Ovis aries: one gene and its partners. The protein of the gene in region 6 interacts with the protein of the main gene of each other region in a pairwise test. Links are inferred from orthologs where the notes say so. Each region holds a gene or a part of one and is shown on either strand. Other genes may lie near its edges.

What was found.
Region 1: the proteins of PPP1CA (region 6) and SH3RF2 interact in binary tests that used the Homo sapiens proteins (3 or more experiments, as listed by UniProt). The link is inferred for Ovis aries from reciprocal best matches to the Homo sapiens genes PPP1CA and SH3RF2.
Region 2: the proteins of PPP1CA (region 6) and CSRNP2 interact in binary tests that used the Homo sapiens proteins (3 or more experiments, as listed by UniProt). The link is inferred for Ovis aries from reciprocal best matches to the Homo sapiens genes PPP1CA and CSRNP2.
Region 3: the proteins of PPP1CA (region 6) and PPP1R3B interact in binary tests that used the Homo sapiens proteins (3 or more experiments, as listed by UniProt). The link is inferred for Ovis aries from reciprocal best matches to the Homo sapiens genes PPP1CA and PPP1R3B.
Region 4: the proteins of PPP1CA (region 6) and PPP1R15B interact in binary tests that used the Homo sapiens proteins (3 or more experiments, as listed by UniProt). The link is inferred for Ovis aries from reciprocal best matches to the Homo sapiens genes PPP1CA and PPP1R15B.
Region 5: the proteins of PPP1CA (region 6) and SNCAIP interact in a two-hybrid assay, tested with the Homo sapiens proteins (2 studies listed by BioGRID and IntAct). The link is inferred for Ovis aries from reciprocal best matches to the Homo sapiens genes PPP1CA and SNCAIP.
Region 7: the proteins of PPP1CA (region 6) and AATK interact in binary tests that used the Homo sapiens proteins (3 or more experiments, as listed by UniProt). The link is inferred for Ovis aries from reciprocal best matches to the Homo sapiens genes PPP1CA and AATK.

What each region holds. Positions count from the first base shown.
Region 1 is NC_056058.1:55,018,529-55,022,028, reverse strand, and holds part of SH3RF2 (E3 ubiquitin-protein ligase SH3RF2), read right to left. Parts: intron 2,350-3,500; coding exon 1,991-2,349; intron 1-1,990. UniProt on the Homo sapiens protein: Has E3 ubiquitin-protein ligase activity. Acts as an anti-apoptotic regulator of the JNK pathway by ubiquitinating and promoting the degradation of SH3RF1, a scaffold protein that is required for pro-apoptotic JNK activation.
Region 2 is NC_056056.1:135,118,123-135,121,342, reverse strand, and holds the end of CSRNP2 (cysteine/serine-rich nuclear protein 2), read right to left. Parts: coding exon 3,052-3,220; 3' UTR 668-3,051; coding exon of another isoform or gene 612-667; 3' UTR 501-611; downstream 1-500. UniProt on the Homo sapiens protein: Binds to the consensus sequence 5'-AGAGTG-3' and has transcriptional activator activity. May play a role in apoptosis.
Region 3 is NC_056079.1:24,332,487-24,336,695, reverse strand, and holds the start of PPP1R3B (protein phosphatase 1 regulatory subunit 3B), read left to right. Parts: upstream 1-1,409; 5' UTR 1,410-1,497; coding exon 1,498-1,634; intron 1,635-4,209. UniProt on the Homo sapiens protein: Acts as a glycogen-targeting subunit for phosphatase PP1. Facilitates interaction of the PP1 with enzymes of the glycogen metabolism and regulates its activity.
Region 4 is NC_056065.1:1,999,320-2,002,024, forward strand, and holds part of PPP1R15B (protein phosphatase 1 regulatory subunit 15B), read right to left. Parts: intron 1,800-2,705; coding exon of another isoform or gene 1,779-1,799; exon of another isoform or gene 1,588-1,778; intron 588-1,587; coding exon 366-587; 3' UTR 1-365. UniProt on the Homo sapiens protein: Maintains low levels of EIF2S1 phosphorylation in unstressed cells by promoting its dephosphorylation by PP1.
Region 5 is NC_056058.1:29,092,568-29,096,067, forward strand, and holds part of SNCAIP (synphilin-1), read right to left. Parts: intron 3,272-3,500; coding exon 3,179-3,271; intron 2,601-3,178; coding exon 1,532-2,600; intron 1,465-1,531; coding exon of another isoform or gene 1,442-1,464; exon of another isoform or gene 259-1,441; coding exon 188-258; exon of another isoform or gene 1-187. UniProt on the Homo sapiens protein: Isoform 2 inhibits the ubiquitin ligase activity of SIAH1 and inhibits proteasomal degradation of target proteins. Isoform 2 inhibits autoubiquitination and proteasomal degradation of SIAH1, and thereby increases cellular levels of SIAH.
Region 6 is NC_056074.1:41,699,855-41,704,076, forward strand, and holds the start of PPP1CA (serine/threonine-protein phosphatase PP1-alpha catalytic subunit), read right to left. Parts: upstream 2,801-4,222; 5' UTR 2,751-2,800; coding exon 2,696-2,750; intron 2,166-2,695; coding exon 2,034-2,165; intron 1,889-2,033; coding exon 1,658-1,888; intron 1,026-1,657; coding exon 921-1,025; intron 334-920; coding exon 110-333; intron 29-109; coding exon 1-28. Other genes in the region: TBC1D10C (carabin), read left to right, coding at 3,972-4,222. UniProt on the Homo sapiens protein: Protein phosphatase that associates with over 200 regulatory proteins to form highly specific holoenzymes which dephosphorylate hundreds of biological targets.
Region 7 is NC_056064.1:51,028,322-51,032,264, reverse strand, and holds the start of AATK (serine/threonine-protein kinase LMTK1), read right to left. Parts: upstream 2,801-3,943; 5' UTR 2,567-2,800; coding exon 2,512-2,566; intron 1-2,511. UniProt on the Homo sapiens protein: May be involved in neuronal differentiation.

The DNA of each region.
Region 1 (3,500 bases), on a different chromosome or scaffold from region 6:
CAGGAGAACAAAGGGACATGGCTGAGGTGTGAGAACTGTGCTGTTTTCCCCTGGGACTTGGCTCACGTTGTTCCTTTACCCTGTCCCTTCTGGGAATGCCTCATTCATGTGTTCCTCCAGCAGATACTTGTGTCTGCATGAGAGTCCACCAGGGATCACCACTCTGTCAAGTGCTATGTACAAATCCAAGAGTGAACAGAACTTCCCTGACAGATGACAGTGAGAACCAGTGCTTCCGTGGGGAAGAATAAGATGCTAAGGGAGTGGGTAGGAGTATCCAATTGAAGCTGGAATGGGACTTGTCAGGGAGGGCCTCCTAAAGGCAGAGGTATTTCAATCAAGAACTGAAGAATGGGGATTATCTAAGAGAAATAGAAGGGGCAATCACCGACCTAAGAACAGGGTTCTAGGCAAGAGGGCATGATCCTTTCGAGAAAATATAAGAAGTTCACCTCCCCTCTCTCTTCTCCACCTGCCGGTAAGGCCTGTCTTGAGGCCCACCTCTTCCCTGAGGCCTACCTGCTGACTGCATCAAGTTCTGTGATTAACTTATAAATCCTCAAAGCAGAGCCAGCAAACTAGACACCGCTGACTACACTTTGTCTACAGAAGGTTTAAGAGTTTTAGCTGCTAACATGAAAAATTGGGAGACTGCATATATGAAAGTCAGGATTTCATCTGTCTCTCATGATATAGCTCAGGTGCACCGGGGCCAGGGCCCCATTCTGCCAACAGTTGGCTGGTGCTGATCAGCAGCTCCCTGTCTGTGTGGGAGTCACCATCTCACATTTGCATAAGCCTTTCCTCTCTCCCTTCTTTCCTAGCCTGTTACAGGATCTGTCTGGTACAATCAGTGTTTACCTTGGCCATTGCCTGTCTTTTGTTTGTTTCTTTAGTCGCTAAGTCGTGTCTGACTCTTTTGCGACCCCATGGACTGTAGCCTGCCAGGCTCCTCTGTCCATGGGATTCTCCAGGCAAGAATACTGGAGTGGGCTGCCATTCCCTTCTCCAGGGGATCTTCCTGAACCAGGGACTGAACCTATATCACCTGCATTGTAGGCAGATTATTGCTGAGCCACCAGGGAAGCCCCAAAACGAAACAGTAACAGTCACCTAATTTTCTTGTTACCTCCTCCATCCCACCATCCTTCTTTCCTCAAGGATATTACTGAGAACATAAAAAATTTACAAAAATTCTTATGTCTTCTTATGGAAAAGCCACAGAACCACAAAGGTCCTGATAATGGTCAATTGAGTAGTTATAGCTCTGTGTGACCTTGACAAGTCACTTACACTCTGCTGTGTCTCAGTTACCTCCTCCATACTGTGAACAGGTACACATTATTCCCTGTGTAAGCACTTTACTCATCTCATTTAATTTCCACTCCAGTCCTGTGAGGCTATGACTCTTCTTACTGCCATTTTACAGATTAAGCAAAAAAATCTCAGAAAGGTGAAATGTTTTAACCAGAGTCACCAGCTAGCAAGCAGCAGCGCTGGAATTCAAAACAACATTGTATCTGAGGCCAAAGCCATGCTTTTTCAAGTCACCCCTGGGCCTTGAAAGTAGGATGTATGAGATATTCTGGAAGCATCAGGGAGATTCAGTAACATGTCCAGGGAGGATGGAGGTGGTATAAGGATGTGGAGGGGGGTTGTGTGTGAGGATTCCTTTGATTCCTCGTCCATTCAAAGCTGAAATCTCAGGAGCTGAGACACTGTGCAAAGTTAGGCGTCTAAAGAATCAGGCCCCCCTCACGTCACCTCATGGTCATGCATACATGTTCAGTGTGTCTAAATCTTTGTGACCCCCATGGACCGTAGCCTGCCAAGCTCCTCTGTTCATAGAACATTCCAGGCAAGAATACTGGAGTGGGTTGCCATTTCCTCCTCCAGGGGATCTTCCCAACCCAGGGACTGAACACACGTCTCTTGTGTCTCCTGCACTGGCGGGAGGATTCTTTACCGCTGCCATGTCACCTACTCCTACCTTCTCGCTGCTGTTTCTTGAGTTTTCTGGTTTCACCAGGATGGAGGGCGGGGCAGATGCAGGCGGTTTGGGGAGAGGCTCACTCTTGACGGGAATTTCTTTGCCTTCCATGATGAGGGAGCTGGCTGCCGTGTGGATCCTGGTGTCGCTGCCCCTGCTGACGCACGTGAGGGCAGGCTCCCCAGTGGGAGTGGGCTTGGATCCCAGCTCCGCCGCCACCGTGGAGGCTGAGGAGGGGGCCCCCTGTGGCTGGTAGAACTGGAACTGTTGAGGCTGGACCACCATGGTGGGGCTGTGTCTGAAGGAGCCCACCACGAGGGTGGGGATCCCCGACTGGACGGGTCTCTGCAGAGATCCATCTGAGAATTATAAGACAGAGATATCAGCCCTGGGGCGGCTGACAGCAGCTGGGGGTGGAGGGGGGCCACTGAGTAGGCAGTACGTCCTGATATCCCAGAATAGTTAAGTGCTTTCCCAATTTGACTGTGCTCACATTCTCCCAGGGTCTTTCAAAGGTGACCTTATTCTTTTTTTAGTGCTGCTTGCCAGTGCTGGCAGCCAATGACTGGCTAGGTGAGTGTTGGTGGGGGGTGGTGTCAGAAGGTGTATTACCTCCATTCGTCCTCTGTCTGTCTCTCTGTCTCTCTCTGTCTCTCTCTCTCTCTTTCACACACACACACATACACACACACACACACAAACTTCTATGATCTCCTTCCAGGCCTTTAAGATGATATGAAGAAGACAGTCCTAAAGAGAGGGCTTCACAGTGAGAAGAGAACAGAAATGTCATGCAGACCAAAGAGGACACAAAAGCAGAGACAAAGCAAGAGACAGCAGACATTGAGACTCACAAGAATGAGTCAGCTGAGAGGCATGAGCAGGAGGGAGAGTGAGGAGAGAGGGGAGGGGACTCTGACCAACTTCTTGAAGAAAATTCTGATGGAAGCATTATGCCTGTGGTATGGGGACCTCTGCTCTTCATCGGGTCTGTGGGGAGGAAGGCTGAGTGGGATTTAGAGACCATGTCTACTGGGCAAATGTGACAGTAGTTGGAAGCAAATCTGGAAAGGCTATTTCCGAGTTAGGGTTGGGAGCAGATGAGCTTCGGCAAGTCCCATGACACAAGCTCTGGAATCTGATCTCTTCTCAAGGAGCCAGGGGCCGGTCAGTCACATCACCTTCCTGCTCCTCGGCCCCTCTGGTTGTAAACTGGAGCTAACAACAGTACCTCATGGGCTGAGGTGAGATTATATTTTATGATGCATGCAAAGTGTTAGGATAGTGCCCGGAACATAATAAATGCCCCCATGTTTGAAAACTTTATTTTTTTCTCTTCTAGGTAAAGGAGAAGCAAACTGTAAAAATGCATGCATGGTCTAGGAGTTTGATTTTGCCCCTTTCACTTCCCTGAGCTCATTCCCCTCTCCTTTTTTTTTTTTGCTTTTAACTGAGATGAGCCTCCTCTGTAAAAGGAAGCCATTACTTCCCCTCAAATTCTCTAGAACAC
Region 2 (3,220 bases), on a different chromosome or scaffold from region 6:
GAAATGACTTACACGTCCCCCAGTTACTAATGTTCCTTTTACAGGACTGATTGTCATAACCTAACGGAGAGATAATTGGTTGGAATAGAACCTTCTGATGGGATGGAAATAACAAAAAAACTGATGTGAAGTTGATGCTCTTGCTGGATTTTAAGACAGTAGACAGGAATATATACACACACACACACACACATATATACACACACACATATAAAGCCATGGAATTGAAAAGTGGGCCCCAAGAGTAGGGACTGAGTCAGAAAAGCTCCAACAGGGCAGATCAAGACTTGCTCCAGCTGAAGAGGCGCCTAAGGGCACATGATGCAAGTGAAGCTCTTGATGCTCCATAGAATGTTCTATTTTTCCATTGTAAAACATCCCTATTGTTAACATTAATCCTTAACTGACCTAATTGGTTTTATATATAGTACTAGAGAAGCATTTTTCTCTAACAAGTAACTGAATTGTGGTCTGCCAAGATAAAGAAGAAAACACCATTCTTTTGAATATTTCTTTAATATTACATTTAAATATTTTCTTTAAATACAGCATTATCACAATGTAAAGGACCTAAAAGCAAAAAAAAAAAAATTAAATTTTTTTTTTTTCAGAGAACCAGACAAGCTTTGGATTCACATTGAAAATACTACCTGTGTACAGTATGTGAGAAAAGAAATTGGAAAATATTGAGTTGTAATGAGTGATTTATCTGGATTTCTTTTATCCCACCTAGTCTAAGCAGCACTGAAGCTCTGCTTTTGTGGTCAGCAGCCTAGCCTTTCTAGCAACCATGCACTGTAATTCTGTCTGTCCAGCTCAGGTAGCACCAGAAACGAGATGGACTAGGTTGCATAAAAGGCCCTTTGCTTAACAAGATTGTTAATGTTAATATTTAGCATTTAAAAGGTTGGGACAGGTGAGTCAGAACTGTAGTTAATGAAGGGAGGGATTTATTATCTTGGGGGCTGGCAATGAGTTTAATTAGTTTGAGCTTCTTGGTCTGATCCCAAATGTCTTATTAAACAGGTGAATCCACTTCCTAGCTTAGGCTGGCGCCCTCCGAAGGAGGGAAGATACAGCACTCACCCTCCCCTTCTGACACAAACTTCTAGAAAGATTCATCTCCAGAGTCAAATTCCCAACTAAAGTTCAACCTTCTGTCTGAGGGGACCAGTCTAAGGTGGCAGAGTGTAGCTCAGTTGAGGATAGCACCTATTTCACAGGTGCTTAGGACTCTGACTCCGTTTTGTGAGCCTAGAGGAGAGATAAGGGCCTATGGCTTATTAATTCACCTCCAAATGTAAAACCAGCAAAAACAAGAATGAATAGGAGAGGCAAAATAAGTTAAAAGGATGTATCCATGTTGAATATAAGGCCTTTCAGGCTCAGTTTAGGTTTGATAGGTGAAATGCTACTGTGATATACATACATAAAGGTTGCTTTCAGACACTGGGGCCTTAAGATCCCACAAGAAAAGGCTTTATAAGCAAAATAGTAGGAACAGTTACCTCCTCCACCAAAAAAAAAAAAAAAGGTTTATACTTTGTCTTTTCCTGGTCAAAAAACCATACCAGTAATGAAGCTTAGTGTGAAGGATGCTAGAGTGTTTTGCTCCCTAATGCTTCCCTTTTCAAACAGAAGCAAAGAGCCATAAAAAAAAAAAGAAAAGAAAACAGAGGCAGTGATAACTTTGCTAGTGAAAAGAATTCAGTGTTCAGTGGAGCACATCTTGGAACATAAACTGGACATGAGAGAACAGGAACCATGTCCCCCCTAATAAAGGTACGAACAGAATCTGAGTTCCACTCAATAGACCTCAAAAGTTACAGTTAGAACTTGACTTCTTAGAACCTGGGAGCTGCAGGAAGCATTTAGGAACTGGTGTGGCTTACAATCTTTATATATAAAGATGGAGGGAGCCAGTAAGCATTTGCAGTTCTTGGGAACAGAATGTGAATGTAAGAACTCTAACCCTGTATATCCAAGAGGGACCAGGAGGGTAGACCCAAAAAAGGAAAAAACACAAAAGGTAACACAAAAACACTAGCTGGTGAACTTGCCACATCCTACACTCCTTTAAAGCTTAATTTTTTGGGGGGAGGGGTAGGGAACAGGGCGGGGTTAAGGTGAAAACGCAAGCACAGCACAAAGAAAGTCATCTTTCCAGACAGCAGCCTGTTCCTGCTGCCTCCTCTGGACACAGGTTAATGCTCTATATAGGCCTCCCATGGGATGTGTGAGCCCCAGATTAAAGCTGCCTGATGGAGCTGCGGTTAGACATGTAGGGAAGACTGGCTCTTGATGCCACATCCCCAGCCAATCTAGCTCTTTCCCTTCAAAGGAAAAAGGACAAAGCGGGGGCAGGGGGAAAGACAAGTTTAACTCTAGTACCTAAAAACGTGTGAAAGAAACACTTCCAAGTTAAGACCAGGAATCCCCAGTGTGGGGAACAGGTCAGAGAACAAAAATGTCAAATATTAACTTATTTACCAAATAAGGGGGGGTCAGGGAAGGCAGGTTCAATTCTTATAGATCTTAGAGGTTTTATACAGAAGCAGAGACACTTTCACCCCCTCCTTTCTAGCCTCAACCAGCTGACGATTTCAACTGTATTACTACAATACACCAAAGTGGGGTATCAGAGTAACTGCTGAGGAAGGTGAGCTTAACCCTGCCTGGAGCTCAGAAGAGAGGAAGGGGCTTTGTCATGCTGTTTAAATTGTCGTGTTCTGGTCCCTACGTGAATAGCTGCTTGAATTACCCAGCTCCTCCTGTGAGATCCTAGTTCTTTGTTCCGAAGGCCCAGAAAGCTCAGGATGCAGCCTCCTCTGCCCCAAGACTGTCCCCTGATCGAGCTGGGGCTGGTCTCCTTGGTTCTGTTGGCCCTTTAAAAAATACTTGTACAAACAATCCTTTCCCACCCTTTCCCCAGTGACCCCAATAAAATAACATAGGAGCAGCAGCTGCTTCTACAGTTTTGTTTTTGAAATGGTGTTAGATAAAATAAGGGAATAAATAGAGAACGGGTGGGAGGCAGTCTCCGCCCATGCGTCACACTGCCAGAGGGAGCTCCAGGGCAGGCTCCTCCGGGGGCCTGTCCGCACTCTGCGGCGGGGTCTTCTCCACTGCACAGCCCTCTTCCCTGTCCGTGCACATGGGGAGGCTTGAGGGGGACCAGGAGGGGCGACAGTCTTCACTCCCAGGCTCCTTGGGGTTACAA
Region 3 (4,209 bases), on a different chromosome or scaffold from region 6:
TCCAGGCCAGAATAGAGTATTTCTTTTAAAAGTAAAAGGTGGTAACAGAAGATGGTAAGACTTGTTTATGTCTTTACTTGGCACTTTAAAAAGCTGGTAATCCTATACTAATTTCCAAAATACAGTAAAACTGGAAAACGGGGATCCTCATCCCTAAAGTGGTTAGCTCAGCTGGTCACCAAGGAGATGATATCTATGACTACATACATGCATATTTAAATTGATCTCATATGGGTGGAGGGGCTTCTAAACTCTATTCTAAACTCATCATTCTCTACAGATCTCAAGCTGAAGCACAGAAATTAAGCAGGCCCTGTAGATATAGGTTGAATCCGTTCATACAGATTCAAGTTAGGTAGTTTCCTCGGAAATATACCTATCTGCTGCTGCTGCTGCTGCTGCTGCTAAGTCGCTTCAGTCGTGTCCGACTCTATGCGACTCCATAGACCGCTTCCCACCAGGCTCCCCTGTCCCTGGGATTCTCCAGGCACGAATACTGGAGTGGGTTGCCATTTCCTTCTCCAATGCATGAAAGTGAAAAGTGAAAGTGAAGTCGCTCAGTTGTTTCCGACTCTTAGCGACCCCATGGTCAGCAGCCTACCAGGCTCCTCCATCCATGGGGTTTTCCAGGCAAGAGTACTGGAGTGGGGTGCCATTGCTTTCTCCAATACCTACCTGAGAAACCCTCAACTATATATGCAATATTCTGAGATGGGTATTGGTCCTTTGCCTCAATAACAACTTTATTAAAAGGATTTTACTGTATTCCATTCACAAGGACACCCGGACAGTGATGGGCACAAAGCAAGTGTTCAGTAATTACTTATTTTCAACAGTATCCTAGAAGCTGGGGATACTGATCCTGAAAAGGCTCCACTTAAAACGGAGGGAAACGCGTTGGGCATTCTCTCGGGGCTCCCCTGGGCTCCACTTGTGATGGAGGAACTAGCGGTCACCTGTGAACCCCGTGGCTGAAGAGTAAGGCAAAGGCGGGGCCGACGGGACGGGTGAATGGCTCTGCAATCCCGTCCGCGCGCGTAGGGTGACTTTTCCCGGCTAGGACTTTGCCTAGGGAGTGGGAACTGTACCAGGCGCCGGCGTCCAGCCCTCTGGCTGTAACGGGATGCCGTGCAGCAGGCAAGTGCCTCTGCCCCCTGGCGCCCGTTCCCCCGGCTTCGGATGAAATTGTGACCCATCGCCCCCTTCCCAGCCCTTGGAACCCGGCCCTATCGCTCCGGGCGCGCAGCCTATCACGTGGCGCGGCGGTGATGGGGGGGCGGGGGGACCGCGGCTCCGCGGTTATTGGTGGACGGCTTTCGTCTCGGGCGCGCCCATTGGCTGCGGGGGGCGTTCACGGGAAAGGGGGGTCTGGGAAGGGGTCCCGAGTTAGGAGAGGTGGCCTGAAAGTTAAAGAGAGCCGCGCGGCGGCTGGGAGTTAGAGTCCCAGGTGAGGGGCAGCAGGGAGGAGGCGGGCGGGCTGGTCTAGCGCACGGACGGATGCGGCTGCCCGCGGAGGGCGCCCACCTGAGCCCCGGGCCCCGCTCCTGCTGTCGCCGCCGCTGCCCCTGCCACCTTGGCTGGGATGCTGCCGCAGGCTGGCGCCTCTGCACTTCGGGGCTTATGAGCTGTACCAGGTACGTCCCCCAGCAAGCCCGCAAGGCCCGGTGCCCTACCGCAGAAACGGCGACGAGGGCACGCATCAGGGACCCTCTCTGGTTCCTGCCGCACACACTTTCTCAGGCCAGCTTGCAGTTACACTCTGGGCATGGGACACTGTAGAAGGGCTTGAGGAAACTGTTGCTTCCTCGTGGAGAGGGCAATGCAGGGACCAGAGGTTGGATGGAGCCTGGCCGCACCCACGTGATGCACCGGTTGGGGGTCCTGGTCATGATGGGAGGCTGGGGCTGGGAGTCCAGACCACTTTTGGTCCCTACTGTGCCGAGTTCGAACCTGACACTAGGCTTTTCCGCCTGGGAACCGACACTCCTAGAGCTGAGCCCTGGGATCTTGAGCACAAGGGAAAGTCGCGGCGTCTCTCACCCCGCCTCGATTGCCCGTTACAACGTAGGGAAACACACTGGGTGATCTCTCAGGTCGCCGAGGGCTACGGAACACGGATCCGCACCGGCGGCTGGGGCCACTCTGAGCCGAGCCACCTCGGGTCCCCGGCCCCCAGACGGGCCGTCCTGGGCCGGCGGGGTCGAGGTGGCCGCGCGGGGACGCTCTCGTGGCGCCTCTCCGTCCGGGGTGGCCCCGCCGCCCCGCCCTGGTATGATAACTAGGGCTCCTCCTCCTCGTCGTCTTCCTCCCCCTGCCGGTCACAACTCCGGGAACCCAGCCCAAGCCCTGCCTCCCGGACACACACCGAGGCTCACGTAGTCTGGTGGCGGCAGCTTCCCCTGCCACCTCCCTCCGGGTTCTCCGATGCGGCGAGCCAGCTGGAAAGGGGGCTTCCCCGCGGCCCCACAGGGGGGGCCCCCCCCCCCCCCGCCCAGGCGAAGGATCTCGGGGAGGTGTTGGGGGCGGGATGCAGCCCGGGCCTGGCTGGACCCAGGAGACAGTGACCTGTGGGATCTTCGAAGCCAGGACGCCCTGGCCTGCCCCCGTGTCCTGTTCCAGCCACCCTTTTGAGTCCAGAGAAAGAGGTGTGGAAGCGACTCAGTGCAAAAGAGGGAGCAGAGAGCCCAGAACATACTAGAAGGTTTGGGCTTTCTCCTGGTATTGTTTGCTGCAGAAGAGGAGGAAATTGAGAACCTGGAGAGTTGCTAGAAGATGTTGGGGCCTGTGGTCTGTGTGGCCAGGCCTCCCTGGGAGACCCACGGCCCAGGAGAAGCCAGAGGAAGGCCTTCAGGCTGGGGTGCAGAGGAGAAGAGGAAATGGTTCATTTGGCAGGGTTGTCCAGGAGCCAAGACTGAAGTGAAGACAGCTGGAGGATTTACCCCAAAAGTAAAGTTGAGGTATTTAGGGAAAAGTTAGGGGAAAGAAGAACCATCAGGCAGTATTGGCAACCCAGAATGTCAGAGCTCAAAGGGATCTCAGGGGAGAAGCTCAAGCCCAGAGAGGTTGAGTAATTTGCCCTGAGTGCCACAGCGTCATGTAGGCGGTCCTAGGCCAGTGCGCTATATTTCATATTGGACACTTTTAGATGCAGACACTGGGCCATTTTAACTTATCTCTTTCCTATAATATGTAACTTCATCCACAGATATTTATCTCAGAGATGCTTTGGATGGTGGTGACAGAATAAAGGAGTCCAAGTGGCATCTAGGGCTGTGAATAACGGCCCCATGGTCAGAGAACCATGGGAAAGATGCCAACTTTGTTCACACTATGGCAGCCAAACCTTTTGGGAGCAAATAGAGAAATGCCAAAAGGGGTAGGTGACCATGTCTTTAAAACAAAAATTATACCTGGTAACTTGGTTGTGAATGCTTACCTTCACAATGTAGCTTCAGTGTTCCTGGTGAGTTATTGGTGTGTCTGATATTTCTGTCTTTTCTTATCAGGGTGCAAGAGAATGGGGGAGGCAATGTGTTGGCCTCAATACAAAAGAAAAAGATTTGCCTTCTATAAAAGGCACAGCCAGAGAGTCAGTAGTTCAGCTGCTTGAAACTGTGAAGGTTATAGGGTTATTTTCTGTACAAGTTGATAGACTTTAGAGAAAAATCACCATGACGTGTAACCCTCGCAAGCTATCTTGAGAGGGTGTGTTGTTTGTCACTAGTGGAACAGGGAAAGCTTTTATGCAAAACTCTCCATGTTCTCTCTAATTTGCATGGAGTGTTAGGGTTTGTCCTCTTTTTGACCAGAAACACTGAAATGTACCCTTAGACACGTCCAGTCTCTCATGGGGCAAGACGGATCTCCTAAGCATCTATTTGGAAGCAAAAGTTTTGAGAATCCCTGCTGGTCTGAGTAACAGCTACTCACAGTCTCATGACCTTGTCCTGCAAAGAACTGGTATCCAGGTCCAATGTCATCTCTGCTGGTTCAGTTGAGTGTCCACATCTCCTTCTGGTTTTTTTCCCCCGACCAACCTTGGTGACTCATATTACCTGACTTGGGCGAGGGAAAGGGCAGAGCTCCCAAAGAGTCTGTCAGAAGAGAGGGCGTGAGTACAGCCCAGTGCATCCTGTGTTGGAACTGATCATTTTCATGCCATTTAAGGATTAAAACACCTGCCCAGGTGCCTGCCTTTCAGGGACTTAG
Region 4 (2,705 bases), on a different chromosome or scaffold from region 6:
GGGAAATGGGCTCTTAAGCCTATAAATATTGTTTCCCAAGAAAATAAGTTTCTAAAGTGCAAAATTACACCTTAAAAGGTCCCCTTTTCACTTCAGCAAGCAAACAACATCCTAGAACAGATCCAACTAAACAAAAAAGGGAGGATTAGAAATCACACCATCTCATCCTTCATTTTCAGGGCCTGGCTTCAAACCTGGACGTATCTGAGTGGGCTATGTTGCAAAAAAATATTAAACTAGGTCACTGGATCCAAGCTGCACATCCTCTAAGAAAAAGTTGAAGGACAGCTGCCAACTTTTGTTTTTAAAAGTAACCTCTCAAGTAAGAGGTAGTGTATGCTAGGGCCAGAGGCTGTCAAATCATCTTAATATTGCTCGAAAACATTAAGCCCTTTGAAACATGTTTGCTGGAGTCTATTAAACATCTTTTCTCTGTGCTCAAATGTCAAGCAGTATCCAATAGCTTCTTCTGTTTCTTGAATTCGTTTCTGGAACCTGCATCCATCCCGCGCAAATTCTTCCCATGGTCCTTTTCGATCCTCATCACCGCTTATATAATACTCAGTAACTTCTTCAAGGAAGGTTACCTATAAACATAAGAGTAATTTTAATCTCAAATATAACAGAAGTAAAGAAACAAACTTGTACACTCTTCCAAAATGACAAATGTTTCCTAAGTATTTCAGAAATATATTCCTGAATGCTTTTATTACAGCACAAAAGTTCACTTCTATTTCTTTTTTAAAAAAAGTAACTTTTCAGTGTTTTTCAATTCTTGAATCATAAACATGTAGTAGTAGTATTATATTAATTATTTTATAATCAGAACACAGAAGAAAAAGTTACTTAGTATTCAAACTGCAACAAAATGTATCTTTAAGGTTATGTTGGAGAAGGCAGTGGCACCCCACTCCAGTGCTCGCCTGGAAAATCCCATGGGCGGAGGAGCCTGGTGGGCTGTGACGGGTCGGACACAACTGAGCGACTTCACTTTCACTTTTCACTTTCATGCACTGGAGAAGGAAATGGCACCCCACTCCAGTGTTCTTGCCTGGAGAATCCCAGGGATGGCGGAGCCTGGTGGGCTGCCGTCTATGGGGTCGCGCAGAGTCGGACACGACTGAAGTGACTTAGCAAAAGGTTATGTTACTATAAGAGACTTTGTAGTTAAGATAAAAACCCTCTGTGTATTCTTCATTATCCTATCACCATATATACATGCAATTGTGACTACTGCAACATATATGATCACAGGTAAGTGACAGTTCCTTTTAATCCCTACTCAATTTCTAATATAGAAGTATCTTTTTAAGATATCAAACACCAAATGTCAAAACTTGTTTTAAAGTACATTCATTACTTACATCAGCTAATTCCACTGTGGCTGGCTACTTTCATTCCCTTTACATCAGGCCAAGGAATACCCCCGAGGACAATTAGTAGATATGTAACACCTTACTAAATATTGCATTCTAGCATTACTCATTCATTTTATCACCAAGATAAATAACATTTATACAGTGGTTACCATATGCCGGGTTCTTTTCAAAGTACTTAACAATTTTCATCTCACTTAAAAATACATACCCTATAAGGTATGTATTATCATCATCTTCATTGTATAGATAAGGAAACCAAGGTAAACTGACTCATTCAAATCACTCAGCTTCCAGGGGTGCAATCAGGACTCCAACTCAGCCCGGCTCCACAATCTGCACCATGTTTGCCATTTAATAAAGCATTCCCAGATCTGAAAGCCTCATTCTAAGAACTGGGAACTATCCATTATTCCCATATACCTAAAAAATGAGATGTAGTCAAAGGTTATAAATAACTTTACCATATTCCAGACATAATCTTTTATAAATGTTGCTTCTAGTGCATAGTAATAGTAACATCTACTTGACTCATCTCACTTTTCACTCAGTGAGCAAGCTAAAAAGAGACATGAGGCTGGGCTGAGATCCCTAAACAAGAGTTATCATTTAAGGCAAAGCAACTATGAGTTTTATCTACTCACCTCGTTTAAACCGTGCAATAATTCATACAATAGCCATTATTATTATTACTATAAGTTAGTCAGTCAAAGCCATGAGAGGTCAAGTTACTTCCCAGCTCTGGCTATCTTCCTAAATCTGTTGGCCCTCACCACTTAAGAGTAGGGAACACAAGTCTCTAGATGCCAAGTGCTCATTCCACTGCCTCACTTTGTTTCTCTAGTCACTGAACAGGCCATTTTGTCAGGGACCTTTAAAAACATAGCGAAAAACGTTTAACACAGCATTAACAACAGTGTGACCTAAAATCTAATTTTTAATATGCCTTATTTTGCGTCTACAGCTAGGACATAAGAATACCACCATTTAGGGACATTTTCTACCCTAGGGAGAGTTTCAAAGATTAAGCTGGTCAATTGGAGCCAATGGATTACAGTTCTTTCCACTTGAAACTCTGATGCAGCAGAATTTGAGGTCAATAATAATTCACCCATGACTTTCTTTCCAAATAAAAGTAAAGGTAATTAAAGAAACTTTTGCTCCACAATAAAAGATACCTGTTTGTGGGGATTTCTCTTCAATTAATAACCTCAGCTGAATTTTTTTTAAAAAGGCAATTCAAAAGATTCCCCAAATAAGGTTACCTTTGGAATGTGTTGAAACAGTAAAATAAATGCTCCATGAAGTTTTAAGACTAGCCTGGGAATA
Region 5 (3,500 bases), on a different chromosome or scaffold from region 6:
TGGGTACCTGCTCCCTTTCTAAGGACCAGTTACAAATCTGTCAGCTTCTATTTGGGGGAGGAGTCAGAATTTTCTACTACCTAGGTGTCAGCGCCTGCAAAAAGTGTGCTAGAACCACCATTTAAAAGGTCATGCAATTTAAAGCGAAGGCCTGGCACTGCTGTGGAGACACCCTAGCACCACGTACCGTGCATAGTTACGCAGATGCTCTTCAATCAGCGTGTTAGAGGAAAGATTGATGCAGCTGCCGTACATCTCCTAGAGAGGTGCAATTAAAAATCATCTGAACACATGCAACAAGCTCAGCACATGCACAAGTCTCAATAAACAGGAGGCATGCAGGAGACAGGTTAAAGGATAGACGCTTTGGACACACTTTACGGTGCATGGGGAACTGCTGAGATCTTTGACTCCTCAGTGAGAGGACCCATTAAGTTACCTGGAGAAGTTTTACTCCAGCAATGTAAGTTTGGACATATTTAATCCAAAAGGCCTGGTGTTCAGGGGCACAAACGTGACTTTTCTAAGCTGAAGCAAATACATGCTAAAGTCTTATAACAAAGACAACTCGGTGGAAATCAATGTGCAATTAAAATTTGTGTGTTGTTAATTGGAGTGATATTAACTAAAATTTGATTTTGGTACTGCAAAAAGAATCTAGAAAGTTCTTAGACCGCACCAGAATGGGGTTGTACCTTATGACAAATAATAAATTATGCAGGTGTTACTCTCTAGTTACTGTGAAGGATATTCTGGGTCCTTCTGTTTCACAGAGGGTTTCACACGTTGGCGGCTATACCATGTTTTCAAGGGCATAACAGGCACAAAGCATGCAGGAAACATTACCTAAAAAGATGTTCGTATCTCTTCCTCACAGGATTTAAATCCAGATTATAACACGTGGTTTTACAATAAATGCAATTATACAGTGCAGTTCATGGCACACACTCTGCCATCCCCTGTGGGTGGGCAAGCACTGTAGACCACCAGGGCTTCCTTAGGGGCTTGTGTCTTAAGATGTCAACGTGGAGGTTCCTGCGGCATATTTATTCCAAAGGTCTTTCTGAAGCTGAGTAGTTAATTCTTTAGAAATAGAATTTCTATTTGTATACTGTTTAATTGGGCTCGAGAATAAACTGTCCAGTCACATGAGGAGAACTAACTCTTCCTGGGGCAGAATCAGGGATAAAGAGGGGCCTGATTTCACACTGATTTTGTAATCTAGTCCTATAGACATGCCTCCCCATCTACAACTCCTAATTCTCAATGATCAAACTACTTGGGGAAATCGAGGGACCAGGATATAACCTCCTGTGATCTGTTTAATCATCCTCTCTCAATTTCCAAAGGAAGAGTAAAAGGTACTCAACACAACTTATCTCATTAGAAACCCTGGAGTCTGTTTTTCCATGCATCCTTTAGAATTCTTCCAGGGATTCCCTCAAGGTGGCCAAGGGCTGTAATCTGTGGTGTTAGGAATAACATAATTAATTTAAAAGAATAAAAGGGACATTCTCCAAACAGCACTCACCGCCTTATTTTTTCCTTTGTTAGCAGAGCTCCCGGTGTTTCCCTTACCGTCTGTCACCTTCCTCCCAAGGGAGGTTAAGGGGAGGGTGGAGGTCTTCAGCTGGTTGGATGTCTGATAGTTATTATTATTGTTCTGGTTGCCACTGAGTGTCTCCATAATGGATCGGAAGGTTCCAAAGGGCCTTTTGAGCTGATCCCCTGATTCGCTACCAGCAGACGTCCGCTGGAGGGTCCTGCCCTTCTCTCGCTCCTTTTCTCCGTTTAGTTCAAGGCTAGTTTGCTCCATCTGCACCACCGGCTCCTCAAAGGTCACTCTGAGTTTTGAGTTCTGAGATGTCCGGCGCTTGGACGACGGGGACTTGAGGGCACTCTTGGGACTCGTGGCCACTTTCTGGGCGGCTGCACTGTCAGGGCTGGGCTGAGGGGCTTCTCCAGAGGGTTGGCTTGAGGGGGTGTTTCCTGAGCCCGGACACTGGGATTCCAAGTCCGGCTCGCTGCTCTCTGAGGTGGGGGATGGGCTGTGGCCTTCCAGGGATTTGGAGGCCTTGATACTGAAAGGAAACCTGCGTCCTGATGCCAAGGTATGTTTCTTGATCATCAAGTGGAGGCTCTCTGCACTGTCCACGCCCTCCACACTCTCCACGATGGGCTGCGGTCTGGGCCTGTCAACCTTCCTCACAGGGGTGCCCTTGGGGTCCTCAGAGTTGTTGGAGTCCGTGTCAGCCTCGCTCAGTGGCCGCTGCATCAGCTGCTTCAGCCGCGCCAACTTCAGTTCCCTCTTCTCCAGGGGGATCTTTTTGGAATGTCTCGAGGAACTCTGAGCATCCTGGAATTCCAACGACAGCTTTTCCTGGGTGCAGACATTCTCTGAAATATCTTTTCCTAATAACTGACGTAGGATTTTATCAGAATCTTCATCTTTCACTTTGGCCCTAGCCCGGCTGGATGCTGACAGGCTTCCAAGAACCTGAATCCCCTCCTGGACTCCTGGTTTGCTTTTGGCTACAGACTCATCCTCTGCATCTGGGGACTTCCACTGGGACTTTCTGCAAGCTGGGGAGGATGGTGAACTGAAAGAGGATGGAGGATATATGAGATGATCTCCTATTGGGTTAAAATAACTCAGCCATGAACCACGGCGTGGCTTTACTGCTGCGAATAACTTCCACATCACTAAGACTGAAATAAGAATAATGTCTGCTTCAATCAAACTACAAACATTCCATGGTGGCAACCATAACCAGAATGGGATGCCTCATACCTTATGCTGTGACTGCCAAATGTGTCTACTATTTTGTTTTTTCACACATCAATTTTGCACAAATTTTCCCAATCCCATCGTCAACAACCTTATGAGCCTACATATCCTTATTCCCATTTCATAGTTGAAGGAAAAATGACTCTAAAAGAGTAAGTGACTTGTTTACAGTCGTGGAAAGAAGAAATGGCAGAGCCAGAGATAAACTCATGTCTTCTGACCCTAGATCCAGTGCCTTCTTCCCTATGATAGCTCATTTTTATTCCTCTTTATAAAAATAAAATGTCTTCTGTTGCTATCTTCTAAAAAGATAATAAAGGAAAGTCCAAGAAAACGGCTCAGAGATGAAAGATACTTAACAATCCTAACCACCACCACTTCTGGTATTACCTGGGTGAAGAAAGAAGTGACTTGCCCTCTGATTTCTGGGCTTCAAGAAGTTGTTGGAGCTGGTTCTGTAGTGTGACACGTTGCATTGTCTGTCTGGGAAAAACAAATCCAAACAAATAAGTTCTCTGACACATGGCTACTACCATAAATTAACAGATATATATTTTCTCATGATAATTTGCAATAAGTTGCAATAAATCTAAAAGCCTGGCAAATGTGCATAATCTTCACCCTTATAATTCAGAAATTTTCCTAAGGATACAATCAAAAGTACTCAACAAGATATTTATTATTTACATGGCAGGCAGCTTCTTTACCACTA
Region 6 (4,222 bases):
CAAAGAACTCGTAGCCGTCTTCTACTACCTGGACGAGGGTGGAGGCGGTTAGTTCAGCAGGAGCTGGCTGCCAGCCCTGCTCTAACCCAGATGGGGGCTGCCAGCCCACCTGGTGTGCCCGGCAGATGAGGTCCAGGTCATGCTTGTGCAGGAACTTGGCCACCACCTCAGCTCCAAAGGTAAAGGAGACGCCGCGGTCATTCTCGCCCCAGCCCTGCACGTCCTTGTCAGGGTCAGACCACAGCAGGTCACAGAGCAGGCCCTGGTCAGGCACATCTGTGGGCCGCATGATGCGCCGGATCTGCTCCATGGACTGTAGGTCTGGGGACAGGCCTGGAGGGCACAGGGGGCAGGTCACCTCCTCCAGGCAGCCTTTGCCAATCAGCCTCTGCCCCCCACCTCTCCAGGATTCCTGGGAGCCTACAAAGGCAGAACTCATCACCTTCTGCCTCTTCCAAGTCCCTGTCCCTTCAAGGAGCACAGAGCTCCCTGGAGAAAGTGTTTTCGCTCAGTCGTGTCCGACTCTTTGCAACCCCATGGACTGTCCAGGCAAGAAAGCTGGAGCGAGTAGCCATTCCTTTCTTCAGGGGATCGTCCCAACCCAGGGATCAAACCTGGGTCTCCCGCATTGCAGGCAGATTCTTTACCATCTGAGCCACTAGGGAAGCCCTGGAGAAAGGGGACAAGCAAACTCCATGCAAGAAGGCGAGGCCATGACACAACAGTGGGTGCAGCCTAATGCTGCAGTGCGGGGGCACGTCATGGAAGAAGTACTACCCATACCAGGACTCCAGGGAGAGCTGTTCCTGGCGACTGGGAACACATCTTCCAGCCGACGCTTCTGTCCCAAGGTCCCCAGGGGTGCTCACCCTGGGAGGCTCATCCTGCTCAAGAATTCACATGCCCAGAGCTGTGCTCACCTCCATGGCAACAGAAGATCTTCTCGTCCACGATGGCAGCGATGGGCAGGCAGTTGAAGCAATCAGTGAAGGTCTTCCACAGTTTGATGTTGTAGCGTCTCTTGCCTGCCCAGGGGGAAGGAGACAGCTCACCAGAGGGCCTCTGCTCCACCCTCAGCCCAGGTCTCCAGGCCTTCCAGGACACATTGTGTGTTGTTCAGACACAGCTAGGAGGAGAGAATGGAAGGCAAAAAAGGAAACCGAACCCCCGCCCCCTACCCCTACTACCCCACTGCCTCCCAGACAGAATTCTAAAGCAGCCAAGTCCACGGGAACCCCAGAGTTCCACTTCTGGCACGACCTCAAGGTTGGCATCCACCCCCAGCACAAGAGCAGGGCCAGGTCGAGACAGGGTCTGGTTCATCTTGGCTTCTGTCTAACAGAGTCCAGTCCCAACAGGCATCCTAAGTGCTTAAGTATCGGATGCGCTGGAGGGGAGTGTCAGCAGGTGAGGCCCTGCCTTAGAATCCTGGCAGCCCTTCAGCCAGCAGCCACTGGCTAGGTCCCTCCTGAGTGCCAGGATCTGCTCTAGGAGGGTCGGGGAGGGTGGCATGGGCTGGTGCTACCTTCACGGCACTCAGCTTAGCAGGTGTTTGTCAGACGCTGACACCCCAGCCACCAGGTCAACACGAGGGTCGCACTGAATGGCAAGGAGAGCCCTTTAGGACCAGGGCAGCCCAGATGCTCTGCCCACTCACACTCATCATAGAAGCCGTAGATGCGGTTGATACTGGCACACTCGTGGTTCCCACGGAGCAGGAAGAAGTTCTCCGGGTACTTGATCTTATAGGCCAGCAGCAGGCAGATGGTCTCCAAAGACTGCTTGCCCCTGTCCACGTAGTCCCCCAGGAACAGGTAGTTACTTTCTGGAGGGAAGCCGCCGTACTCAAACAGCCGCAGAAGGTCATAGTACTGGCCGTGAATGTCACCTGTGACCCAGGGAACCAGGTCAGCACTAGGGCAGCCTAAACGTGAACCCAGGGTCAGGGTTGGGCCCAAGGGAGGAGAAACTTGGGAGGGGTGGGGGGCAAGGCCGCTTTCAGGAGGCCACGGGGACCTGGGCTGGGGGCTCACCGCAGATCTTGAGGGGTGCCTCCAGCTCCAGAAGAATGGGCTGGCTCAGGAAAATCTCCCGGGATTTGAGGCACAGACCACGGATCTCGTTCTCCGTCAGCTGTACATTCTTTCCAGGCCTGGAGCCCTGCACTGGGGGCGGAAAGAGGCGTCAGGACCCTGGTTCCTCAGGCAAGAAGAGGGTGAATGTCACTGGTGGCCCCAAAGGCACTTCTGGGTAGGGGCTCCTGGGCCTCCCGGCCCCGCCTTGCCCAGGGGCAGCTGTTGCTGCTGAGCCTCCTGGGACCCCCAACTGCCCTCAAGGCGCTCGCGAGGGGACTGCTGTGCGCAGAGGCCATCCAAAACCTCAGCACAGGACCCCTTCCTGGGGGACTAGGCTTCTCAGGTTTCTCCCTCAGCCAAGAGCCCAGGCCAATCCTTGCGCGCCCACCCCCGCCACCGCCAACCCCGGTTCTGCTCTGGCAAGGGGAGCAACCCCAGACCTCCCAGCGCGCCACGACTGGGGTGGGGTGGGGGCACGATGTGGCCACGGGACCTCGCGGCCCGTCCCCGCCCAGTCAAAGCTGGCCCTGGGAGGGGCAGGTCCACCCGCGCGCCACTTCCGGGCCGGGCAGGGGACCAGGGCGCGGCGGGCGCCCACCTCCCTCGCCTCCCCGGCCAACCTTCCAGCAGGCGTCCGATTATAGAGTCCAGGTTGAGCTTCTCGCTGTCGGACATGGCGGCGCCGCCGCTCTGGCCCAGCACCTCCGGGCCCTATCCTGCCTCCCGCCCTCCCGCGGCCTCCTTCCGGCCTGGTGCTCCTTCCGCCCGCCCGGGCCCGCCCCGGCCCGCCGCCCCGCCTCCTCTGCCGGCAGCCCCGCCCCGCCGCACCCGGCCCCGCCCCGGCCCGCCCGGTCGCCCGCCGCCCCTGCGCTCTAGCGCCTCCACTGGACGCCAGGCCCGGGGCCCGCGGCGGCTCGGGAGGCGGGGCTCGGGCTGACCTGGTTGCGGGGGCGGAGCCTACACTGGGGGCGGGGCTTCACGGGGCGAGGTCGACTCTAGTTCCGCCCTTGAGGAGTTACCCACCCTTGCACCGAGGATGTGCGGCCGGAAGTAGTGTGGAGTTGTTTTTCTCTTTCAAGGGCCCAATAGTCCTTCCCATTTCTGTCCCGGGCTAGAAGGTGGTGTGACCTCATTGATATCTCATTGGGTCTCCCCAGAGAGTGCAGATTAAATCCACGAAGTGCAGGAAAGGAAACAGGTTCAAAGATAGCAAGGGTTGGCTTCAGACTGACGGAGGAGCTCTCACCTCTAGGGTCCCTGTGGCCTGCGGGCGGCTGACCATACCCAGACACCTGTCGCTGAACGCCGAGCTCATTTTGGTCCCCCTGCCCGTGGCGCATGCTACACCATTACTACTATTTTTTAATGTCTCGTCGTTGTGTTTTGAGTAGCGCAGTAATGACTTACTGTTTGACTTGTCGAAAGCGTTAACAAAAGAAGTCACGTTAAATAAAGTGTAATACTCACTGGAACCCTGAATTGAGTGTTTTATTTGCCTGTGACCTCACATCTGGAGGCAGCGTGGCCTCTCTACCTCTGGCAGGCCCTGGCTGCATCACACCCAGCACAAGAACCCAGGCCTGCACCCACCTAGCCCACCGGGGTGGTGGGAGGAGCCCATGGCCCAGGGCTACTGGGGCAGGCCGGAAGAGCCCTGGAGAGGAAGGGGTAACCCCCCCCACCACGCACTTGGGAGGGGCCCTCAGCGGGTTGCTGAAGCTGTGGCTGAGGAGGAAGTGAGAGGAGGAGGTGAGGTGCAGCAGGGAGGTAAGCTGGGCCCCTTGGGACAGGGGCTGGGCCTGGGTCTCCGGTAGGGGGCCTGGCCTTTCTGCCCCTCTGGGCCTGTGCCCCACCCCCACCCCACAAGAGGAGAGGGTACCAGAGGGGTATGGTGCGATGCCCTGCAACCTGTCCTCTTTGACCAGGCGGGCAGGTCCTGGGGCTGAGGCCTGGCTGCAGAGGCGCCCCGGCCCCGGCTGGCCGGGAGCCCCTGCTCACACTGGCTGTGCCCACATCTTGCAGCCTGCCGCACGGGGGGTCGGTGGCGCCATGGCCCAGGCCCTGGGCGAGGACCTGGCGCAGCCCAGTGAGCTGCAGGATGACTCCAGCTCCTTGGGGTCCGACTCAGAGCTGAGCGGGCCCGGCCC
Region 7 (3,943 bases), on a different chromosome or scaffold from region 6:
GGCGCCCTTCCAGATGCCCACCTGTGCCAGCCTGTGGTTCCAGAAGAACATGCTTGGGCCTGGCCCCCTCCAGTGGCCTGCCCTGCCCTGCCCATCTCTGATAGGTGACGGTGGCCCAGGCAGGAGCTGAGTTTAAATAAGGTCCCCCAGCACCCATACTGCACTCAAGCACGTGCCGAGAGCCGGAGCCTCAAACTCAGCCCCCTTCACTCTCCATAACTGCCACCATTGTCACCACCTCTATGGAGAACTACCATAGCATCCATGATGGGCACAGGACTGTCAGTAGGCAACAAACCTGGCCTGGTGACACTCTGAGGACCCTTCGCCCAGGCCAGGTCCCTCTGTCCACCCCAGAGTGTTGAGCGACCACAGAAACAAACTCTGAGATAGCCACAAACATGACTGTCCCCTGCCCTCTGTGGTGGATCCCAAGCAGGGTCCCCATTTAGACAGGAGTCAACCTCAAAACCCATCTATCCCCATTTTGGGGACAGAGGAAAGCCACATGCCACTGTGGCCTTGTCTCCATACACCACCCCCTCCAAAAGAGCAGCCAGTGTTCATGGAGGGTCAGGTTTTCATTGGGTGCTTAACCCCTAACTGAGCCTGGTGTAGGCGCTGCTATCCCCTTTTACAGATGAGAAAACTGAGACTCGAGAAGGCAAGGGTGGGCAGGGGGACTCCAAGGGGTGGGAGCCGGGCTCTGAATGCTAGGCATTTAGCGGGAGGGCAGAGGACCCCACCTCGCCTCCTTCCCAATGCCCACATGAGGGCCAGCATGGAGCCCTGGAGTTCCACACCCCACAGGCAACACACCTCTACCATCCAGGGGCCCCTCGCACAGTGGGGCAGGGCTCTCTCCATTCCGCCTGAAAAGAGCAGACCTCCTCTTGCCTCCTGACAACTTTTTCCCCTGCTAAGTCCTTAAACTGACACATTATAATTACACTGATCACAGCTGTTAACAGAAACATTTGCAAGAGGAATCAGCTTAGTTGTTTCTCTAAGATGGGGGAAGGGTCTCGTGCTGGGACACACCCAAGTGTGTGTTTGGTGGGGGAGTGTACTGAACCCAACCACACAGGGCAGGTCTGGGCCCTACAAAGAGTGCAAGAGGCAGGGCATGGGGAAGGGTGTCCCCCATCCCTGGGTCAGTCCTGCCACACACACACTCACCCTACCTATGGTTCCAAGGCTGGACCTTCGCAGCCCAGGAGCCACGCTGCCTGGAACACTGGCCCGGAGCCACCTGGATACCTGTCCCAAAAGGCTGTCTGGGCCTGGGACTGACTGCTCAGCAGGGCCACCTCCACCCCCACCTCCAACCCCCGCCCTCAGAGTCCAGCAGGGCTGTCACTGCCAGGTTGGGGGCCATCCACTGGGACTCCATGTTCTTCAAGCTCTGGGAGTCGCCTTGGGAAGTTATTTCTGAGCCAGGGACACCCACATCCTCAGTCCAGTAGAGAAACCTGCCGTCTGCTCCCCTCCCTCAGGAGCAAATGCCTTCAGATGGGGCCGGACCCAGGGGACCCTGTGCATCACTGCACGAACTGGGCCCTACTCCAGGGAGGGAGACCCAGGAGAGCCCATCACGTGCTCACCCGGCTTTGTTTTGGCTGGATTAGCCTGTGCCAGAGCCCCAGTGACAAGTGGGTGGGACTCTGGGTCCTTAGGCCACGGCTCCAGGGCAGGGGCTTATCTCCCACTAGGGCCAAGGAGGGGCGGATGGCGGGGCCTATGAAAGCAGAGGGAAGAAAGTCTACCACCTTCTGGCAACGCAGGCAGGCCTCCAGCTGCCCCCGGCCCCACTGCCCACCATGGCGGCCCACTGCTGCCAGGAGGTCAGGCAGCCATGGGTAAACAGGCTGCCAGGGCTGCCAGCCTGGGGGAAGGGGGGGGAAGAGGCCTGGCCCCATGTCTCCTGCAGCCAGCTTTGACAGCGCCACCTCGGCCTCATCCCTGTCCTGAGGGCCTGGGCATCCACTGAGGCCCATCTCTTCTGAGCCTGTGCTCTGTCCCACCTCCCCATGCAGGCGGCTGGGTGGCCCGGCAGGGCTCTCCAGAACGCATTCCCAGCCTAGGGAGGAGCCTGCCACCCTAGTCCCAGCAAGGGTGTCCATGGGCCTGAGGGAGCAACACTCCCACCCCTCCCTGGAGCCCTTAGTCCTGGCTGCCTCCTCCCCTGGACACCTGGCCCAGCACGGGCCCTCCTGCCCCAGATACGCGAGATCGAAGCTTCCACAGGGACAGGCAGTGCCCCCACTGCCCACCCCGGCTGCTGGAGGCCTCAAGCAGGTGCCAACCCCTAGGCCTGCCCACCTCCGGGCCTCCAGGGGTTCCTGCGGGAAAGCAGTTACGTCTGCAGCTCCGCTCAGAGAGAGGAAAGGGTTAATTTCCATGCGAAATAGAAAACCAGCGGCTCAGGAAGCATCAATGTCCGCAGTTAGGCAGGTTAGGGGCAGCCGCAGCGGGCAGAGGGCTGGCAAGGGGCGCGGCCAGGGGACTCACCAGGGTCGAAGTGCGAGCTGAAGGCGAAGCTGGGGTTGAAGAAGGACGACGACATGGCCAGGGCCAGCAGCGCGGCTTGGCATCCCCCGACTGGCGCTGCGTTCAGCTCAGGACGCCCGAGGCCCGCACCGCGCCATCACCCGAGCGGCCGCCGCAGGTGCGAGCGCGCCTTGGCCGCGGCGCCCGCTCAGCACCCACAGCCGCAGCCGCGGGGCCGGCGGGGTGCGGGTGCGGGTGCGGGCGGCGGCGACAGACGAGGCGCCTCCCCCGGCCGGTGCAGTCCGAAAACACCGGCGGGAGCGCGCGCGCGGGGTCGGGTGGCGGGGGGGGGGGGGGTTCCCTACCGGGCTGGGGGGCACGGAGACTCGCGCAGGGGGGATCCGAAGGCTGAGGGGGCATGGAAATGCGGGGGGGACAAAGGCACGGGGGGACACAGATGCAGAATGGGAAATCCGGAGACGCAGGGGTGGCACGGAGGATGGGGGGGCACGGAGGCTGGGGGGCGCTGGGAGGCGGAAGGTGCACAGAAACGCGGGGAGGGGTATACTGAAGCCCGAGGGTGGCTCAGTGACGCGGGATGGGAGACCCAAGGGCTCGGGGGCACGGATAATGGGGGAGGGGCCCGTGGAGGGAAAGGTGCGGGGGGGGGGCGGGACGGAGACTCGGGAGGGGGCCACCTGGTGGCGCGGGGGTGGGCAAAGAGGCGTGGGGAGGAGGAGCGGGAAGGCGGGGGCACGGCTGCGCGCACGGGAGTGGGCACGGTGGCACGCAGGAGCAATACGAAAGCGCGCGCGGGGTGGCCGGGAGGCGCGGGCCCCGGCACGCGAGGGTCGGGGGCTGGCACGCGGCCTGCACACGCCGGTTTCCGAGGCAGCTCCGGTCCTGCCCCGCGCCCTCTGGGCGGCGCCCGCGCCGGCGGGGTGGGGGGTGGGGGTGCTATTTTTGCACAAACCGCCCGCGCCTGTGCCACTCTGCGACAACCGTGGAGAAGGAGCGGCCGCCCCCGCCCGGGAGGGAACAGCGCCGGGCGTTTAGGGCGGGCGCGGCGGCGCCGGGCACCGAGGCACCGTCCCCTCCCCGCCGGCCGCGCGCCCTGCCGCGCCATCTTGCGCGGCTGCGGCGGCTGCAGCGGCTGCAGCGGCTGCGGGAGGCCCGGCCGGCTGAGAGCCCAGGGGGCTGGGGCTCGGCCCCTCCCCACCCGCTGGGAGCGGAGAGAGTTACAGCGGAGCTGGGATTTGAGTTTTATGTAACTTGAGTCACTCACTCTACACCCATCCATTCATTCTCTGGCCAGATGAGCAAAGCCTCTTGGTTGACCCAGCGGGAGGACAGGGGGTGTGGGGGCCCGGAAGCCTTTGGGGAGAGCAAGGATCAATGGCACAGGGGTGGGCACGGAGAGAAAGGATGGTGAGGGCCAGCCCTCAGGAGAGGG